2 linked regions of the Drosophila melanogaster genome follow. The gene in region 1 interacts genetically with each later gene. Each region holds a gene or a part of one and is shown in the gene's direction. Other genes may lie near its edges.

What was found. A genetic interaction does not mean that the proteins touch.
Region 2: of Orco (region 1) and Or83c, changing one suppresses a phenotype caused by changing the other (phenotypic suppression), as found in Drosophila melanogaster (one study listed by BioGRID).

Annotation. Positions count from the first base shown.
Region 1 is NT_033777.3:5,405,452-5,414,616, reverse strand, and holds Orco (odorant receptor co-receptor), read left to right. Parts: upstream 1-2,210; 5' UTR 2,211-2,222; intron 2,223-4,147; exon of another isoform or gene 4,148-4,345; intron 4,346-4,692; 5' UTR 4,693-4,693; coding exon 4,694-5,001; intron 5,002-5,071; coding exon 5,072-5,586; intron 5,587-5,683; coding exon 5,684-5,909; intron 5,910-6,324; coding exon 6,325-6,529; intron 6,530-6,890; coding exon 6,891-7,046; intron 7,047-7,114; coding exon 7,115-7,165; 3' UTR 7,166-7,434; downstream 7,435-9,165. UniProt on the Drosophila melanogaster protein: Odorant coreceptor which complexes with conventional odorant receptors (ORs) to form odorant-sensing units, providing sensitive and prolonged odorant signaling and calcium permeability.
Region 2 is NT_033777.3:6,075,234-6,080,835, reverse strand, and holds Or83c (odorant receptor 83c), read left to right. Parts: upstream 1-2,552; coding exon 2,553-3,110; intron 3,111-3,187; coding exon 3,188-3,426; intron 3,427-3,513; coding exon 3,514-3,703; intron 3,704-3,769; coding exon 3,770-3,925; intron 3,926-3,981; coding exon 3,982-4,032; downstream 4,033-5,602. UniProt on the Drosophila melanogaster protein: Odorant receptor which mediates acceptance or avoidance behavior, depending on its substrates. The odorant receptor repertoire encodes a large collection of odor stimuli that vary widely in identity, intensity, and duration.

The DNA of each region.
Region 1 (9,165 bases):
GCTTTGCCTTGGGTTTTGGCTTCTGGCAGCGAACTGGCTTGCGAATCTGCTGGCGGATGCTGCTCTCGGTGCTGTTCATCTCCCGTCGATGGACCATGTTTGACTGGCTCCCAATAGAAGCCATTGGCTGTCGTTCGTCGCCACGCTCGCTTCGTCCTGGCCAAAATGCGGATCCCGTAACAGTGTCTGTGGTTTCTGCTGTGCTGCTCTCCTCTGCCCTGCTCTCCTCTGCTGAGGAGAGATTTTCTTATACGAATCTCTGCAAAGAGCAAGGAACGAGTCCTTCGAGAGCGAGAGAGAGAGAGAGAGCTCTCAGATGGCGAGTCACTTCTCTTGTTGCATTTCACAGGCTCAACGAGCCACAGATAATGCACGTGAGTTGCTGAAGCTGCCAGATGGTTCAGATTGCTATGCCTTTAAATATAAAATGGAACACGTCCTTAAAAATTAAATATTATATACATATATATATAAGAGAGAACCCAAAATGGTATCTAAGCAGAAGTGCAACAATATAAAATTAAGCTTAGAATTATTATTATTTTAATAGCTATCACTATCGATTTGCACATTTTTATCCGTATGAAAATAAAAATTAGGCAAGACACTTAAAATTAAGCATGCAAATTCTAATCACATGATTATTATAGATTCTATTAATACTACTACTGAGCCAACTTATATCGATATTCAAATAATATTTGTATTTTAATCTTCCACACGTTATATAGGCATATTTAATGCACCTCATGCTTTTACATAATTGCCGAAAGAGTGGCAACGTCTTGCCACAGCGTCTCTTATAATTTTAAACTCGTGGAGCTGAGCCATCTCAGATTTAACTCTCCCTGCGCATGCTCTCGCGTGGGAGAACAACTTCGAATTTCGGGCAGAAGGATAACAAAGAAAGCACTCCAACGAAACGAACACCCTACAGACTAATATAGAACACCACAAGACCAAAACTCGTTTAGTTGCCGCGTTGACAACTTTGTGGCAGGCGGCAAACAAACAAACCTCACACTAGTCCTGAATGTCCTTTATGCGGACAGCTGTGGGGGCGGGGATCCTGTTGCAATTCCATTGTGAAAGCCAAATGCATTGACCTGCTTAGACAGCTGAGAGATTTACAACTCCCCTATAACTCCTGGCCGTGCTGCAGTTCTGGGAAAGGGAGCAGCGGCATTAAATGGCAAATAAATCTAAAGTTAAACTTTTGACACTGTCTCGGCGAGCAGCCACGAAGGCACTTCCTTCCGACTCCCTCGACTTCCGGTTGGAATCTGTCGCCCTGTCAGCGGCAACAGAAGAAGTGACACTGGCACGCAGACAAGTGCACTGAGAGAAATTGCTTCGGTCATAGCTCAGTGAAATACTAATTATTTCTGCTGAGAAATATTGACAATTTAAAACAAAAGTCATAAAATATGAGCATACATTTTTTATGATTAACTAAATACTAATGCATTCGTTAAATATATATATACCGCCGAAAACAAATTAAGACATTTCCTATTCTGTCAATTACAATTTCATATTCAGTTATATTGTTTTAAACTAAACTGGCGATATATAAACTTTCTGGCTGAAAAATCTTTCTGAAATTGTACACCAGCAATTTCTCCATGTGTACTACTGTGCGATGTATAAGGATTGGATTTATGAGCGCCCAGCACCTCTACCGAAATCTTATAAAACCCGGGAATAAATAATAATAATTCTTGCGCTTTTCGCTGTTGTTCGCATTTCCCGCATTTCTCTGCCATTCTTTTCCATTCTTATGACAATGTCAACATTTCTTTTGCTCCCCTAATGGCCTGAAGAAAGCACACGCACACACACACACACATATAGACCACTCGCACACTATGAAACCGAATGTGGCACACACCCCACGCACTTATTTATATGTATTTTCGATCGTCTGTTGTTTTTCCAAGTCGGTTATGCATAGCCATAAATTCTGGTAAAAGCCTTCTGTAGGTCGAGGGCCACGGCGGTCCGAAAATAAAGGAATTGCTCCTGATGCTGGCACTTACGCACACAGCCAAGCAGCAGGATGGGAGAGAGAGGACCTCGCACACACGGACTCACGCACTCACACGCAATTGGTGTTCTCGCCGTTTTTGTTTGTCACTTAACAGATTTTTCTGTCCTTGCTGGGTATTGATTTCTAATTTTTCCTTCGTCGGCTTTGCGCCCCAAAGAGGTTTTTATAATGTGTGCGTGTGTGTGTGTGTGTGTGTCGCATTGATTTCGCAATTTATGGGCGATTTGATGGATTGCTTGAATAACTTTATATGCTTATTTTTGAGTTTTTATTGTTTTACAACTTGCGGTATTTTATGTAGAGATCCTGTGGACGACCTAATGGAAATCATTTGGTTTTGGCTGAAATGCGGCCATAAAGGTGTGAATCAAAATAATGTTGCCTATACTTCGGGTATATCATTTCATATGGAAAGCGCTTAATAATAATTATATAAATATATAATTTCTAGTTAATGTGACTTTATTAACCCATTAGTGCGTTTTAATCATTTAATTTGGCATCAGAATCGATCACAGTCACGAACACAAAAGCGTAATGGTAAAAATAAAGGCTCATTTGTTTAAGTTGTAAATTAAATAAAGCAAGTGTCACTTTCCATTTAAATGTTGCCTAATAATTAATGACAAAAGGCTGCAGGGCTCACGATGTCCGCGGTTAGCTAATTGATCCAAACGCATCCGCGTAATTAAACTTTCAGCCACAAGCCCATAAAATAAATCAAAAAGCGAAGGACCGAAAGGGGCAACATTTAGGGGGGGGGGGCTTGTTTCGCATGGCTGAGTTCAGGACGATTAAACGTTAAATCAATATTGTTAAATCCCCGCTCGCATCCCCGCAATCCACACAGGCAAGTGTTCACGTATTAATTGATGTTCGTGAGTGTCCTGCATTTAAATAATCCATGATTTGGGACATCTGTGTCTGAGTTCCCATTCATATATGTATGCATATGTGTATATGAGTGGTGGAAACTAGCTGCAGATATAGCTACAGACACAGATACATTTACATTCCGGCACATAGTTTTAAGTGTGATTCAGTTATTCACAATAGTCGCCGCTTTTTGTTCTTGCCACGTTTTAATATTGTCACAACTAGTTTCGAATAACTAAATTGGATGTTTTCGATTAGCATTCAATACACTGCTCAGCAATTTCGTTTGCGTTGCAATTTGAGTACTAGATTTTGAATTAGACAATTGTTTTATTAATTGCCTACATGTATATTACCTAACTGATTTCGAAGGCCACTTGTACGACCTTGAGATAGAGTATTAATTATTTAAATTCTACTGTATTATAATTGCAAAGAATTGTAAGTATTCATAATATATAATGGCAACCCAATTTAAGACTTCTTTTGAAGGCCCCCGCCTACCGAAATTCAGTGCCTATGAGAACTGAGAACGAAAAAAATTGAGCAAGGACCAAATATCCATCAGGCTGAACACACACATTTTCATGCAAATAGGCAATGTGTTATTTTTTTGGGTCAGCGATTCACGGAGGGATCCCCACCAAATGGGTTGGCTGAGGAATGGCCTATCCCCATATCTCAGCGGCACTTGGGGCAGGCCAACAAATACAAGCAGGCATAATAAAATAATCGATGCTTTTAAAATTTGCATAAGTTTGGATACCGCAGATGCCGCGCAAGGATGAGCCCATCTCCAGTCCCAGTGCCATTCCGCCAGTGCGCATACGCCGCGTGGAGGGCACAGGACTGGGCCATGGCCCATGGCCCAAAAGCGGAGTCCTAGACCCGGAGACGACAGCAGTGGTGGACAAGTTCGTGGGCGTTCGATTTAATTGTGGGAATTCTGCGTCTGCCACGCACCCATCACATCGATGGACGTGGCTGAAGAGCTGAATTTTTAAGCGCTCCAAGGCGGCCCGATACCCATATTGTATATTTTCATTACCATGTGTGGGTCGGAGTGAAAGTCGCGGGCTAGGATTTAATGTGGCCTTGTTGCAGCCGTGGGAACTCGTCCTCAAAGTACACGTCCTTATGTACAGCGGAGCAAGTACCTAGCCGACAGAAGGAGCAGGCACTTGTCGACAGAGCTTTTTAACCTTCCGGATTTCACATTTCATTACCGTCGACATCGCGGTGCTGGCAGGTCAACTGTGTCCTGGTTCCGGAAAGCCTCATATCTCGTATCTTAAAGTATCCCGGTTAAGCCTTAAAGAGTGAAATGATTGCCTAGATGATTGCTGCATTACTGGCACTCAATTAACCCAAGTGTACCAGACAACAATTACATTTGTATTTTTAAAGTTCAATAGCAAGGTAATAGCACTGGGTCTTTCAATATTACAATATTACCAATTAGAGAACCATATATCGTACACAATTGTTCCACATTCCGAATTTAATAACTCACGATCGATAGCCAAATTAATATTAATTTGAGAGGACATGAGTCCACCTGAATATTCAATATGCATTATACATTATCCCGCTATGAATAAAACATTCCAAATCGATTCATTTCGGGCAGGAAAATTCCTTTTCTACTCGGCAAGCAAACCAAGGACTAATCACAAATACGGAATATTGAACAGATTACGTTCATAATAGCTGATTGTGTTGGCGAAACCTATTAATTTTGTCGTGCAATTTCCGCCGCTCAACAGGATGACAACCTCGATGCAGCCGAGCAAGTACACGGGCCTGGTCGCCGACCTGATGCCCAACATCCGGGCGATGAAGTACTCCGGCCTGTTCATGCACAACTTCACGGGCGGCAGTGCCTTCATGAAGAAGGTGTACTCCTCCGTGCACCTGGTGTTCCTCCTCATGCAGTTCACCTTCATCCTGGTCAACATGGCCCTGAACGCCGAGGAGGTCAACGAGCTGTCGGGCAACACGATCACGACCCTCTTCTTCACCCACTGCATCACGAAGTTTATCTACCTGGCTGTTAACCAGAAGAATTTCTACAGGTGAGCCTCTGCTCACCGCACCGAGCTTACGAACACTTGGGGAATTTAAAATTTTATGTTTTTCCGGCAGAACATTGAATATATGGAACCAGGTGAACACGCATCCCTTGTTCGCCGAGTCGGATGCTCGTTACCATTCGATCGCACTGGCGAAGATGAGGAAGCTGTTCTTTCTGGTGATGCTGACCACAGTCGCCTCGGCCACCGCCTGGACCACGATCACCTTCTTTGGCGACAGCGTAAAAATGGTGGTGGACCATGAGACGAACTCCAGCATCCCGGTGGAGATACCCCGGCTGCCGATTAAGTCCTTCTACCCGTGGAACGCCAGCCACGGCATGTTCTACATGATCAGCTTTGCCTTTCAGATCTACTACGTGCTCTTCTCGATGATCCACTCCAATCTATGCGACGTGATGTTCTGCTCTTGGCTGATATTCGCCTGCGAGCAGCTGCAGCACTTGAAGGGCATCATGAAGCCGCTGATGGAGCTGTCCGCCTCGCTGGACACCTACAGGCCCAACTCGGCGGCCCTCTTCAGGTCCCTGTCGGCCAACTCCAAGTCGGAGCTAATTCATAATGAAGGTGATTTGTTGAGTCTGAACCTAAACTTTTAGGCGGTTATTCAGTGAGCACTTCACTGAATAGGAAAATGCCATGACGAGCTGTTTTTCCATTGCAGAAAAGGATCCCGGCACCGACATGGACATGTCGGGCATCTACAGCTCGAAAGCGGATTGGGGCGCTCAGTTTCGAGCACCCTCGACACTGCAGTCCTTTGGCGGGAACGGGGGCGGAGGCAACGGGTTGGTGAACGGCGCTAATCCCAACGGGCTGACCAAAAAGCAGGAGATGATGGTGCGCAGTGCCATCAAGTACTGGGTCGAGCGGCACAAGCACGTGGTGCGGTGAGTTCAAATCCTGGCCAAATTGGACCAGCCATTTCAAGGGGGCTTTGGCCAGTGATGATTGGATTTTTGGCGATTTAAATGGCAGAGCAGTCCACTCATATTTCATGGACTTGGATTTTTGCCTTTAACAGAGCACCGAACATAATAAACACACACACTTTCCCCTCAGTTTTGTAAAACTTCAATAGGCGCCATCGGAACATGTGTTCTCATTTATTAGGAGCTCAACAGATCCCTGCAGCTTGTTTGACTTACTTGATTACTTCCTCAATTGCAATCATTGTTGGGGGCCCTAGAGGAATGTCCTTGTTTGTCCTGTCCGACAGTTGGCGTGTGCAGTTGTTGATACCAATATTGACTTGATTCCTGCCTGCAATCCCTCATCCTTTCCCCCGTTGCCTTTTCCCCACAGACTGGTGGCTGCCATCGGCGATACTTACGGAGCCGCCCTCCTCCTCCACATGCTGACCTCGACCATCAAGCTGACCCTGCTGGCATACCAGGCCACCAAAATCAACGGAGTGAATGTCTACGCCTTCACAGTCGTCGGATACCTAGGATACGCGCTGGCCCAGGTGTTCCACTTTTGCATCTTTGGCAATCGTCTGATTGAAGAGGTGAGTTTGTGCAGGGTTGCAAGATAAATTTATAAGTAAATCAGACATCAGTCTCAACTGATTAATAATCGAGAACATCCTTATTTGAGTTATAGGGATATTTATAAAAAATTTTGAGACTTCATTAAAACTAAATGAATTGTAAGTTGAGAGTCAACAGATTGGTCCGTTCACTACAAGCTAACCAGTGTGTTTTTTCCATGTGGTAGAAATAAAAGGGTGTTTTTGCGTATGAGATAAAATTGAACCAATGTTTTCAAGTTTATAGATTGGGAAACATACATAGTTCTAAACGTTGTTATAGTTATAGTTTGTGTAGTTAGTTATCTAGAGCATCCTTAATACGACTTTCATTTCGCAGAGTTCATCCGTCATGGAGGCCGCCTACTCGTGCCACTGGTACGATGGCTCCGAGGAGGCCAAGACCTTCGTCCAGATCGTGTGCCAGCAGTGCCAGAAGGCGATGAGCATATCGGGAGCGAAATTCTTCACCGTCTCCCTGGATTTGTTTGCTTCGGTTTGTTGCATTTGATTTATTGATCTATTGATGGAGTTAAAACTGAATCGGATATTCCCGATTCGCAGGTTCTGGGTGCCGTCGTCACCTACTTTATGGTGCTGGTGCAGCTCAAGTAAGTTGCTGCGAAGCTGATGGATTTTTGTACCAGAAAAGCGAATGCCAAGAAGCCACCTACCGCCCCTTGCCCCCTCCGCACTGTGCAACCAGCAATATCACAGAGCAATTATAACGCAAATTATATATTTTATACCTGCGACGAGCGAGCCTCGTGGGGCATAATGGAGACATTCTGGGGCACATAGAAGCCTGCAAATACTTATCGATTTTGTACACGCGTAGAGCTTTTAATGTAAACCCAAGATGCAAACTAAATAAATGTGTAGTGAAACTCGAAGGTTTAATGGGGGGTTAATAGAATAGAAACAGGCGGAGTTTATTTCATTTTAAATTTCGAATTCATTCGAATTTATTTGCATCTTAAGTATTAATATATATATATATTCTGCATATACAATATAAAATCTAGAATATTGTCAACTATAATATATTTTGGTTTAGCAAACTCAAATAGAGAACTGTTTCTCAATTACTTTAATGTGTGTTATGAACTTTTTTTTCTGAGCTCCATTGTTAAATTGCTAGTTTAGATTCAAGTTGGGTCAGGAGCGGCTTGTAGTCCATCAATTAGTTTTAATTCAATAATTATCGGTGCTGTTCACATGATAAGCGTGGAATTTAATGGGCTAGACGCCGTGTTTATCGCATCACTGGCTTGCATGCCGCAATTTTCACGGCAAACGTATGTGCAAAACGAACTAAATTTAGGAATAAATGCGGATTATAATCATAATCTTTGGGCCGTAGTCGTTTTGGCCACATTTTTGGCAACTGTTGGCGCAACAGCAGAAGCAGTATGAGTACGATTAGAAACGGCCAGCCATCGTCAGCAGTTGCAGTGGCAACAATTAAAAGTGGCAAAAGTGTAATTCGGAATCATACTGTCGAGCGTGGTTGTGGATCTCCACACGCTTAGCTCCACTTACATAGCTCTCCTATATTTTTGCCGTTTTGAAAGCGCACTTTATGGTTTTCAAAATTGCCCAACTGGGCCGTCTGACTCCGCGGCGGGTTAAAACTGAAGCAACAACAAGAAAACGCTCCACGGCGCGAACTTTTAATGCGGCCACGCTCCGTACATTTGGCGGAGTTTTTATTTCTTGCAGCTTTCATAAAACAAAAACGAACCAACGAACGAAAAGTGACTACAACTAAAATTGCGCCAAGAGTGTGCGCCAGATGGGGCAAGACGAGGTGGGGCGAAGTATCTGTATCTGCTGGATACCCCTCTCCATGCAACCGCTGCTTACTGTTAATTTCTTTATTGCGCACACTTTCGTCTGCCAATGAAAGTTTCTTGACTTTGGCTAGGGGGGGAACGCAACAACAACAACAACAACAACAAGAGCGGCTACTGAAACTACTTAATTTATAAGTCTATGGTTTAATTAGTTTTCTTTCTTTCGCGCTTGTTTTGTATCTTTGGGGCCGCGGAGGTACATCTTCCTGTTCTTGTCTGCAGTTTTCGGTAATTTATGCGAATTTTTCAGCCTCATTTGCTGTTTTCTAGTTGTCAGTGCGATTTCTTTTCGGATTTTTAATATAGCGTTACACGAATAGAGTCATTAACATGCCAACACTCCATACGTTTTGTACCAACCATTGGGTAATGACATTTTTATTGAGTCCTAAACACGTTACCTGTTTGGCTTACATAATTCTTCAGATTTTTAACATTCCCAGTAGTTTGGTGTCAATAGTGTCAAGTAGTAGAGAAATTGATGCACATACTAGGAAGAAATCAATTTCAATTTCACTATTGACGCATTCGACTGAAAATAAGTACAAATCACAATTTGATATTAAGTACGTCCAATTGTACGGGGATGTCGAAACGTATCTTTAGTATTTGGCTAAAATACTAGTGAATCTGAACTTTAACATGCCACTAAAATATCTTATATATAATCGATTTTACAATGGTTTAAAGTACAAGAACAATTCTGGCTAAAATGAACATAACTGAAATACAATTATCAAAAGCTAAATATAATTAATG
Region 2 (5,602 bases), 670 kb from region 1:
GTGTGTATCTGGGCACCAGTAGCAAGGACACTTAAAGATATTGCCCCGACTGGGTCGTCGTGCTGCATATTAGTCGGCAGCTTAAAGCGTTCGACTGATTGATTATGTATCATCGAGAGGCAGTGGGACACTGGGCAAAGGCCACTCGCTTTAAGGCTTTAAGCCGCCCATTAGGGTTATTAAATATGCCGCTTTGTGGGTGTACGCTCGTATGCGGGCTATTAGGAATGATAATGGATTGCGAATATTAATTTCTTTGCATGATGGAAAGAATCAACAAAGAACAATGCGTTTAATCTTTATAGACACGCAGCCGCAGGAGAGGGTCGGACAATGCCTTGTGCCAATAATGATAACCGGAAGCCATTAAAGGAAGTTTCAATACAAGAAACACTCTCCCACGCACACACACACACACGCACGCTCTCACACAAACGCATGAATGCCTCTATAGGCAGCTTAAGGCTCTGCACTTTCCTTTTTGTGTTTTGCACTGCGCGAAAAACTAGGACTTACGACGGGGACCATTGAAAAGTAATTTTTAAACATATTTAATCATACGTATCAATTAACATAAACTTGTGTGAAATTATAGATTTTAATTGCTCTTAAACAAAATAAACAACTTCTTAGGAAAATATTTATTCCCTCTAAATAACGTACCCCGATTCCCATCCATTTCTTCCGTGCAGTAGTGGCTGTAGTTGGGCCTGTTGTTTGCCTTCCATTTCCATTGCATCGTCGGCGGCAACGGCGATATTGTAATTTTTATTCCTCTTTGTGCCATTCAGGCGGCAAGCAGCAAAGGCGAATCCTGCGAAAGGAAGCCGTCCTGCAAGTCGAGCGTTCAATTCCCTTTCAATAAGGAAGTGGATGTGGAAGCAAGTAGGTGTGGGTGTGTGTGTGGCACCGCACACGCACCTTGCAATCTTGCTAATGTTTTTCCAGAGAGCGCGTCTTAAGAGCCACCTGCAGTTAGCAGTTTGCAGTTTGAGCTCCGCAAACAGCCGTCGGGTCGATGCGGAAGTCAGGCTAGAAATCCGACCCTGGCTTAGGTCACACCACCATGATGCCACGCCATGCCACCGCGCCAGGGGCATAATGCAGGCCGTCAGGCAGACAAGTTGAGGCGCCAAGTTTTCGGGAAATCGGGGGGCGGGCACGACGTCGACCATCAATGGCACACACTCGCATTTTCAATTGATTAAACATCAAACGCCCAGGCATGGGTTTGAGTATGTATAGCCTGCATTTTTTACGTGCCGCAGCGCAAAAATGCCAGGGAATATTATCCGAGAGCATTATGTTGATGCCGATATATACTCGCACAATATGAAATTCCATTGCATTTTATAGGCAGGCAGCCAAGGAAAACAAAAAACATAGGAGGAAACGTAAGAAGTACAAAGTCGAGTATTGCGACTATGGGATACCAAGTTATTAATTTTATATTTTAAACATATGTTGCATACCTAAGTGCGTTTCTGTTGATGCGAAACCGCTTACCTTTTCGAGCTTATAAGTTCATATTTGTGTTCTATATCTTTTCAAGTTTATGTGTATGCCAAAACTCAGCATACCCCTGTAAGGGGTTCAGAAATCAAACACACACACAGGCAGAAACACAATGGAAGGCAGTAAAAACCTGCGGCAGGCCATTGTGAGGCATAAACAAAAGATGCAGCAGATGGAAGGTGGAGCTGCTGGATCGGCCAGAATAACAAAATACCGCAGACAAAAACCGAAATCTGTTCGAGCGTGGAAAAGGTGAGTTGCCAAACCACTCTCCATTCCCCCTGCCGACTTACACATTCTCAGGCCCAAGTACAAGTGGGTAGTTTTAGTTGGGATCAGCCTTTAGAAATGTGGCAAAGCAAAATTTATAGCTTGGAAATTAATAACAAAAAGCACACAATGAACTAGTGCATATATACCCGCCAGGCCATCCAAAGGGCTCTGAATAATAACGTTCCGCACTCTGAAGTGTATTAGACAACAGTGCGTATGATGAATGCCATCGGAGGACTTTCGAAACAAAAGGGGATTAATTGTATGCGAAAGGTGGCCACCTTCCCACCCACTAATACGGGGGGAAACAAAGGGATAGGGAATTTTATTGTGTTAATTCTGCGGTTTCCTTACTTCGGCAGAACACTTTTAAAATTCCCCAATGTGCAGTAATTATGAGCATGCAAACAATGTGAATTTCCTAGGCATGAGGATATCTTTAAAGCATTAAGTTATTGAGCTCCTTAACGCATTAGAATGAAGAACATCGAACATACATTTTAAGGAACCTAGTATAACCTTATATAGAAGGAAAGCAGATACATTAATTCACTCTGAATCAAGAATAGGTACATATGTATGTTCCCAGATGGACAACTCAAATCTTGTAATTTCACAAAGCAAATAGTACAACAATTAAAGTAGATAATGACAAAATTACTTGCAACTTATGATAATTGCAGTGACATTTGCAGTCCCGCTGTGAAAACAAATGTTTTCGTATAAAAGGGGAAAAACTGGAGGATTAATTCAGTTCCATCACAATGAGTACTTCTGAAAGTCCTTCAAGTCGCTTTCGCGAACTATCCAAGTACATCAATAGTTTGACTAATTTACTTGGCGTGGATTTTCTTTCGCCCAAATTGAAATTTAATTATCGCACCTGGACCACGATCTTTGCAATCGCCAACTATACTGGCTTCACGGTATTTACTATACTAAATAATGGCGGTGACTGGAGGGTGGGACTGAAGGCCAGTCTTATGACTGGTGGGCTATTCCACGGACTCGGGAAGTTCCTGACTTGTCTGCTGAAGCATCAAGACATGAGACGTCTGGTCCTTTACTCACAAAGCATTTACGATGAATACGAGACTCGGGGAGATTCCTACCACAGGACCTTGAATTCGAACATAGATCGACTCCTCGGCATCATGAAGATCATTCGAAACGGATATGTATTCGCTTTTTGTTTGATGGAACTCCTGCCATTGGCCATGCTAATGTACGATGGAACCCGGGTTACTGCGATGCAGTATTTAATTCCGGGTCTACCGCTTGAGAACAATTATTGCTACGTAGTCACGTACATGATTCAGACGGTAGGAGCCACTAAAGCTGTTGAGATTCTGTCAACACTTCCTCCCTCTCCTAACCAAGTTATTTTCGTCGATTGCAGGTGACAATGCTCGTGCAAGGAGTCGGATTCTACTCCGGTGATTTGTTCGTATTTCTCGGCTTAACGCAGATCCTAACTTTCGCCGATATGCTGCAGGTGAAGGTGAAAGAGCTAAACGATGCCCTGGAACAAAAAGCGGAATACAGAGCTCTAGTCCGAGTTGGAGCTTCTATTGATGGAGCGGAAAATCGTCAACGCCTTCTCTTGGATGTTATAAGATGGCATCAATTATTCACGGAGTAAGAAACACTTAATTTCTCCTTTTAAAAAATAAATAAAATCAAAAAGGAACGGCTTATCATATGTCATTTCTCCCATACATTTAGCTACTGTCGCGCCATAAATGCCCTCTACTACGAATTGATCGCCACTCAGGTTCTTTCGATGGCTTTGGCCATGATGCTCAGCTTCTGCATTAATTTGAGCAGCTTTCACATGCCTTCGGCTATCTTTTTCGTGGTTTCTGCCTACAGCATGTCCATCTATTGCATTCTGGGCACCATTCTTGAGTTTGCAGTGAGCTTTAGTAAAATTAAGTCTATGAGCACTTAGTTCTTACGCATTCTTATTTGTCTTCAACAGTATGACCAGGTGTACGAGAGCATCTGTAATGTGACCTGGTATGAGTTGAGTGGCGAACAGCGAAAGCTTTTTGGTTTTTTGTTGCGGGAATCCCAGTATCCGCACAATATTCAGATACTTGGAGTTATGTCGCTTTCCGTGAGAACGGCTCTGCAGGTGAGTAAGTGGGCTTTTAGTTTATAATACCACATTGGATTTTCGTATACTTTTAGATTGTTAAACTAATTTATAGCGTATCCATGATGATGATGAATCGGGCGTAGAAGACAGAGAACACTAAAAAAAAAAAAATCTGACACGCATTACACAATATCTTGATACACAATAATTCTAAAGAGATATGCGAGTTTTTAGATTCGTTGAACAGTATGCATGCAGTATAGAAAGTATTTTTTCTCAATCAGGACCATTAGCTAGTGGGAATTACAAAAGCTAGTTTATGCACTCAGACGCACCCACGTAGTTCAAATTTGATTCAGAAATTGCCACGCCCACCAATCGCCTATACTATTACTATTAAAACTTTTGGTTAATCCAAATGTTAGCCCGGAATCAGCTTACAAATTTTATTCAGCCAACTTTGAAATGCTCTTCTCCCACTTTGCTCCTGATGAACTCGTCGTCGGGATTTTTTCTGCTGCCATTAACCTTGGCCACTAATTACCAACACACAGAGCTGAATTTATGGCATCGGTTTATGGAGCCCCGACTCGAAAACATTAATTGTGCGTCTCATTAAGGGGAGTTTCTTATGCACAAAACATTTAATACATTTCGCATACACGCATAAAAATTTAATTTATTTTGAAATGGTGCGTTCACTTCCCCGATATTTGGCCGGCGGACATTAATAGCTCCTGACCAGGCCATGAATAATGGGCATTTTATAAATGTGGTCGGGACAATGGCCCGGATGCTTGGATAAAAAATAATAACAATAATTGTAACGTCGTTATAATGCAGTCGTAATTAAGTACACCGTTGTTGTACGGACCTTCCGCCACCCAGCGACTATAAAAACGAAATGATTTTAATAAAATCAACAGTCGAAAGGACAGAAAGGACCAGAGCAACAGTTTGGTCAGCGGACTCATCGACCTCTTGGATTCAGATTTACGACCGCTTCGCATTCCATAATTTACTCATTTTTCATGCGCTATTTAATTACGCTAAATTATGGCCGCAAAGGGTTGAGCGGTTGTTTGTTTATGGCCAGTATAACACTCAAAAGTAGAGGTGATGCTGTACATCATTTGGATACAAATACAAACAGGCCTAAAATCAAAGGCTTTAAAACCCAATACAAAGAAGGCGGAATACTGGAGGCGAGTATTGTATTGACTATCTGATATCTGTTACGACGGAGACGGGGAAGGATATTTCAAAGCAATACAATCCTGTTTACGACTCTTAAAATGTAGAGGCATGCTTAAACTAATATAAGGGTGGAAACTTACATTTATGGAACGTACAACAAATAGGGATATTTTAGTAAATGGGTTAATAGCCCAACTTAAGCTGGCTGGAATTTACCTTTGGACCAAAGGTTTAGTACAGTTTTTGAAGAAATACAAAAATAATCACAAAATATCGATATAGGGCTCTTCATCTCGATAAATCGAAAAAGTTTCGCACTCTGTCCCATCCAGTTCCGCTCCAAGTAATGCAATTTGCTCGCTTGTTGGCTGGCAGATAACAAAACTCATTTACAGCCTGTCCACCGCAATGACGCTGAATCGTGAAATCGTGGAGCCGGTGGGGAGTGGCAGTGGCAAGTGGGGCCACTCGACACTCGGATGGAGGCTCTTAGCGTCAAGACACTTTGTATCAAAT